Daphnia pulex: one gene and its partner. The protein of the gene in region 1 binds, or shares a complex with, the protein of each later gene. Links are inferred from orthologs where the notes say so. Each region holds a gene or a part of one and is shown in the gene's direction. Other genes may lie near its edges.

Region 1 (3,317 bases):
CTTTGAAGCCTTGGTGAAAGCCTTCTTCTTGGATTTGTACCTTCAAGATAAGATACCGTGGTAAAAAGAATCCTTCATGGGCACAAGCCTCATCAGTTAAAAACTGAGCGGAGACTGTAGACCCAATTGGATGTGAAGCTCATGGACACTTGGTCAGAGGAGCTGGAGTATTAATGAGCATTTACTATTTGAAAAGGTCTTAGATAGTCATCAGTTCGCCCTAGTTCAAGCAAAGTCTGTCTTCAGGCATTTAGCTCAGGAACCATATTAAATCATCACTTGACCATCTTAAGACCAGGCAAGAAAAGTCAAGTACCAGTTCTTGTAGAAACGACGACGGCAGTCCTCGCCGATATGTTCGGCCCAGACAGTTTTCAAAGCACGAAGACCTTTGGGGGTAGCAACATAACCAACAATGCCCACGATGACCATTGGTGGTGTTTCCAAGATGGTAACCGCCTCAACAACTTCCTTCTTGTTGACCTCTACAGTTTGAGAAAGAGAAATTAGTCTCTGCCATTGATATGTCAGCTTTGCGAGTAGTTTTTCAGCATGTTCCTAAGTGAAATTTGACAGGTAACGAAACTTACTTGAGCCAGGTTTGTCGCATTCACGAACAATATGGGTCATGCCAGCTTTGTAAGCCAAGAAAGCAGTCAAGTGGATAGGTTTCTTGGGATCATCATGGGGGAAGGACTTTACGCGACCACGATGTGAGCGACAACGCTTCTTGGGGTAGAATCCCATGGAGCCATGGCGAGGCGCGCTAAATTTCCGGTGAGACTGTAATTACAAAGCATGAATTAATAAAACGAAACCATAATAAATTACAATTGTACTAATAAAAATTCCACTCGACGAAAACAATGCTTCAACAAGATTAAAATTCTAGTAAAAAATTCACATTTCTTGACACATATTAAAGTCTAACAGCACATTGAACTTTTGCCAAATACAATATCAACAATTTACGTGAATCAAAAGTTTAATACGCTCGATGTTTAAAGATAAAATATTTCTTTTAAGTGAGCACTGACTTACCATTGCTTTAGAATGCCGGAAAGAGATGTACAGGAAAGTAACCAGCACACCGGTACATATATATATAGTTTTGCCTCATGCAGTAACCAGCATTGCCAACTCGTCTTTGAAATTCACCCAACTTTTTACAGCTGCCGCCAGCCGCCGCCACCCGCTTGAAATTAAATTATGATTAAAACAAATAACTTGTATTGTTAACTGAATTTTGAATTGTTAGTAACCTAAAATATTTTTTTCTTTTACAACATGGAATTAAAAAGTGATTTTCTAATAATTCTAGCATTTTAACGATTTTGCTTTCCAGCCTATTCAAGTTTGCACAACGCTGACTCATTAGATCGGATTCCCTTCGTGCCCCACTTTATTTCTATTTCATTTGGACTGCGAAATCATTTTCGATTCTAATTCAAAAAGAAATTCAAAAATGATTCTGAAAATCTGAATTCTCGATTAACGGAATTTCTGAAATGGCAATGCTGATAGAGAGACGGAAAGTATGGCCGACTAGTTCGTCGTCTGTCACGAAAACCTTAGAAAAACAGGCAATTTTTCGTCAATTTCAAACTCGAATTCAATAATTTACTTAATAACCCTAAGTTAAAATGGAAGATCCTCCAAGAGCACCAGCTCATAACCCATTCTTTCGATTCGTCCATGCGGTGCAAAACACTATTGATCGTCCTGTTACTTGGTTCCGAGGTAAGATTGGAATAAAGCAATAATGCAGAGTCGTATCGGTACAGTTATTGTTTGTTTATCAATCACCTGACAATTCTCGTAATTGAACAGAATCGGTTGTGACCCCCAATCGACCAGACCATGTTTACTACCACCAAAAGTTTCGACGAGTCCCAACCATCGATCAGTGTTACACTGATGATCCTGTCTGCCGCTTTGAGGCACAGCAACAATTCAACCGTGACAAGTATGCCACCTATATGAAATTATACGGATGTCTCTTTGAACTAACCAATTTTTTGTCTTTACAGGTTAGTTGATGGTGAGATTGTTCAACTTGTTCGTCAGCGCTTGAAGGAGTAAGCTCATAAATCCTTCCACACTCTAAATCTTTGGTCATTGATATTCATTATTCTTTTAGGTGCATTGCTTATGAGATACCAGATCAAGATAGAAAATGTGCCAAGCTTAAGGAAGAATTTGACAAAGTTTCGGAAAGTTTCTGCATGAAATGTAAGTGCATCATTTCAATTACGATGAGTTTGCAATGATTCTAATGCTCCTCCCTTGCAATGCAGACGCAGACCTTGGTCCCTACAACAACGTCAAGGATGCCTACATGAAGCAGAAGCATCGCATGCTGTGGGAGAGAAGGCACGGCAAAGTCGGCACCGGCATGAAGATTGAAGAATAAGCCCCTTTAAAAAGAAAAGATTAAAAAAAAAGATGGCTTTCTATTCAATGGATAGAACTGTATCTTTGTAATGGTCGCAATGTAAACACAATAGAATGAGAATCTACATAGACGGTTTATTGACGTGGTAAAAATAACTTGAAAACACCTTTCTTCATCATTATTTTTTTTCCGTTCATTTATTGAGAGGACAGCACATGTTATACACACACAAAAGGTTAAAAGACGATTCGGCGGGAGGGAGAGATTCGGGAGTCAATTGTCGTCGATTTGTCACAACGGCGTCTGTTGGTAGACGTTGGCCAGCCCCTCGAAGGCCACCTTGCGGGGCATGGTGGACGCTCTGTGAATGCCGGCAACGTGATTGCTATTGCGCATTTTCGGTCGGTTGTAGGTGGCGTAGTGAATCTGACAGGTGCAGTCCATCTCCTGCTGGATGCCGGGTCCCGATTCCGCGTTGTTGATGTACATCGGACTGGGTCTTCCGCCCGCTCCGGCCGCCAGGAACGGCGGTACATCAGGATCTCGATCGAATTCTCCGTGTGCTGTCGAATGGCCAGGATCCATGGTGAGCAAGTCGCAATAGGGCACGTGCATCTAAAAATAATCCGCCGGAAAAAAAAGAAGAAATGCTTAGAAAATACCAAGAGTTCCATCTCAATAAACGAGAATCCAGGTCGTTTAGCCCTTTTCGCCCCTCCATCAACTATTCGTAGACTCTCTAACGAATCTTTTCCCTTATTCATAATAGAATAAGTAAAGCCGAACGAAGACTCTACGAAGAAAAGAGGATCTACAGTACACTCACTAGTGTGTGTGTGGATGTCTTCCGAAAATCCCCCGGAGAGGACATCTCCCAGCGCCTTTAGTAGCTTTTAGTTCTTATGCGCTTAATACTCTCGTC
Region 2 (2,930 bases), on another chromosome or scaffold:
AAAATAAGCCCGACAGCCATCAGGCAACATTTGACTATTTCACCCAACTAATCAACACTGCACGGACACCAACATAGAAAAATGACACATTTAAGTGTGATGTTGAACTGCAAGTCTGCACAAGCTCCATTTCAGTGCATTTTTCAACTGGAAAATGACAGCAAAACCACTGTACCCCAAACAGCAACACCATAAACAGCTCAAACAACAAACTGACCATGGAAATCTACAAAGTAAAAGAACATAAATGAACCAATACAAATTTGAAATGTAAAAGAGATACCAAAAAGGATTTACTTGAAATGTACGCTAAACTAGAGAAAAACAAATAAAGATTACAAGTACCTTACACAATTTTTAAGCACTTATTTAGAAGCACAAAATGAGATGTCACTAGTCTTCGACATCAAGAACGAAATTCTAACCTTCTTTGCCACCTAGTGGAAACAATTTTACACACCGTGTCAGATTTCTTACGATAAAGGAACGACTGAACGGTCTATAGTTCAATGAACGAACGATACCAGAACACTGCAGTCTGCATGCAACAGCTCACCACATTGTTCACTAGCTGGTTGCACAGAATTCATGTACACATCGGACTGCAACAAAGAGGCTCAGACCTTTTAAGAAGCTGCTAATCCTACTTGGAGGGAAAACAACTCAATTACTACAAGAAAACAAATTGACATGTAACATAAGAAAATAACAGAAGCATAGTTAAACTAAGAAATCTCTAAGAATTTCTTTTAAAAACATTACAAAGGAATCAACAGTTGGCAAGCTTTTTGAACAGTCTTAACTGAAAAGTCAAAAGATATAAAGCAAAGAGCTAGTCATCAACAAAGTAAATGTGTAGTCTTACCGTAAAAAAGTTGATCAACTTAATTACTTTAGATTGTTTATAAGTGTTTCTGTATGTGACGAAAGCTACAAGCGTTACAGGTAGCAAGTCTGCAAGAGGAACACCTTTCACCAGCTGGCTGCAACAAATCACACTGCACAGCACATTGGACTGCAATGAAGAAGCTCAGACTTCACCATGCTGTTAATAGAAAAATAAAATCTCCATTAATATCAGAAACAAGGTCATCAAATGTTTAACCTTAAGGTTACACCAACATGATCATTTTTACTGTTGAGAAGTATTTCTACATGTGATGTGACGAAAGCACAGCAATAGACGACATTTTGGGAAACAGCAGTTTCAGGCCACATGATCAGATGGAAATAGTTGGCTTCTTTATTTGTTAATGCACAACACAAAAAATTTACACTTTTTATATTCTTAAAGAATACAAGTAGAAATTACCATTTTCAAGCGTTGTTCACTATGCAGAGTTGCAGACTAAACTGCCCCACTTTGAGACTTTGAGGAAAGTGTTACTCAATTTTGGCGCTAGGTGGCAGCAATATTACTTACAATTTTCGTCGTAAGGTGGCGAACACTGTTGTCGTCTGCAGCAGAAATTTTTCGTGTTCGTGAGAAATTTTCTGGTAAAAATGGCGTTCGTTGTTCGATCTGGAAGATTGGCAGGCCCTTTGAGGAATTATCTTCGACCTATCGCACTCGGCAATCGTTGTATTTCCACGTCCAAAAAGAAGGATGAAACAGCTGTAGTCACAGAAAAAATCCCGTCACACAAAGTTACCCACGACATCGACGTCGCTGCTGCTTCGGCAAGAAAGGTACTAGCAATAATTTTCTCGTATAATTCCTTGAATAGAAATGCAGAGTAGCAGCCTACAATACGTAAGAGATTAGTTGAAGGGCTGTCCTCAGATGGTTTCGATTTGCTCAGTTTCAGGAATTCTCATGTAATTTGTGACTTATTCTTTCAGAAATGGATGACCTATGGATTCACCACCCAGGACGAGACTGAGGATGTTGCACTAGCCCACCTTTTTTCATTATTCGGTATAACACTATGCATTGTCATCGGTTCACTGGCCTACATGTATGGGCCTGACCACGCGTAAGTCATCACACTGAAAATATTTCTCACTGTTTATGATTAACACAACATTGACATTGTTTCAGTTTGAGGGACTGGTCCCAGCGAGAAGCCTACCTGCTTGTTCGAGAAAGGGAGGCCAAGGGACTACCTCTGCTTGACCCCAACTACGTTGATGAATCCACCGTTGTGCTGCCATCAGAAGAAGATTTGGGTGATTACGAGATCATCATTTAAAAGTTGATTTAAAAACGTGAAACAAGACAAATTGTAGAGGATGCTTTGTGTATACAAATAAACCAACCAAAGGGTAGACTGAAACAAGTTCTACCTGGCATTGAAATGGAGACAAAGGAGAAAAACCAAATGATTGGAGGAAAGCACTGCGAGAAAGCCTACTATATTTACACATGAACAACAGAGAACACGCGTACATACGCACACCCAATCAAAATAAAGGAAACAATGTTGAGAGAGAGAGAAAAATGATGGAAGAAAAAGTTTCGGGGGAAAACAATGTTGGCCAAAAAAAAATCATAATTAAAGAGTTTAAATGTTGAATTTGAAAAAAAATTCTTCAGTGACTTATGAGAACCCAAAATAATTTGTTTTGACACCATCACATTAAGAAATTCACATGTAAATCCGTCTGAGGTGAGTCGGCGAGGTAATCAAATTGCATTGAGGGCAGAGTTTCTTGTTGCCCTGTTGAATTAATAAAATTTTCCAATTAAAAAAAATCAGTTGGTGACACTAAAGACAATCGAAATTTACCAATGCCTGAAGCCAACACTCTTCACAGTGAACGTGCCAACACGAAGTGGATACTACAGGCTGTCGATAATCGCCCTGCAATAATGAAATGAATTAGAAAAATGTTTAAAGGTTTAATTAATTTCTTCTGAATTTACCAGACAGATGAGACAGCGATTTTTCTGCTTGGCTTCTTTGTTCATTTCTTCTAAATCACAAACA

What was found.
Region 2: the proteins of NADH dehydrogenase [ubiquinone] 1 beta subcomplex subunit 10-like (region 1) and uncharacterized protein LOC124205711 are in contact, whole or in part, in a cryo-EM structure (PDB 8BA0), measured with the Drosophila melanogaster proteins. The link is inferred for Daphnia pulex from reciprocal best matches to the Drosophila melanogaster genes ND-PDSW and NP15.6. Residues at the interface, in NP_651972.1 of Drosophila melanogaster: Trp40, His42, Gln43, Phe45, Thr50, Ile51, Asp52, Ala65, Phe69, Arg70, Arg71, Met74, Val75, Glu78, Ile79, Ile82, Leu83, Arg86, Ala112, Asn115, Trp116, Ile118, Lys119, Ala129, Tyr133, Gln136, Lys137, His138, Arg139, Leu140; in NP_650774.1 of Drosophila melanogaster: Gln101, Phe102, Arg103, Trp105, Ala106, Gln107, Arg108, Glu109, Gly110, Phe111, Leu112, Glu113, Leu114, Val125, Ser126, Pro127, Asn128, Tyr129, Val130, Asp131, Pro132, Ser134, Ile135, Thr136, Leu137, Pro138, Leu143, Glu147, Ile148, Ile149.

What each region holds. Positions count from the first base shown.
Region 1 is NC_060017.1:7,432,532-7,435,848, forward strand, and holds NADH dehydrogenase [ubiquinone] 1 beta subcomplex subunit 10-like, read left to right. Parts: upstream 1-1,509; 5' UTR 1,510-1,643; coding exon 1,644-1,740; intron 1,741-1,830; coding exon 1,831-1,966; intron 1,967-2,030; coding exon 2,031-2,078; intron 2,079-2,140; coding exon 2,141-2,232; intron 2,233-2,297; coding exon 2,298-2,413; 3' UTR 2,414-2,525; downstream 2,526-3,317. Other genes in the region: 60S ribosomal protein L3-like, read right to left, coding at 1-40, 317-485, 591-783, 1,042-1,044; uncharacterized protein LOC124197638, read right to left, coding at 2,687-3,010.
Region 2 is NC_060026.1:15,898,610-15,901,539, forward strand, and holds uncharacterized protein LOC124205711, read left to right. Parts: upstream 1-1,448; 5' UTR 1,449-1,503; coding exon 1,504-1,689; intron 1,690-1,842; coding exon 1,843-1,976; intron 1,977-2,041; coding exon 2,042-2,192; 3' UTR 2,193-2,302; downstream 2,303-2,930. Other genes in the region: E3 ubiquitin-protein ligase Rnf220-like, read right to left, coding at 2,589-2,660, 2,730-2,804, 2,867-2,930.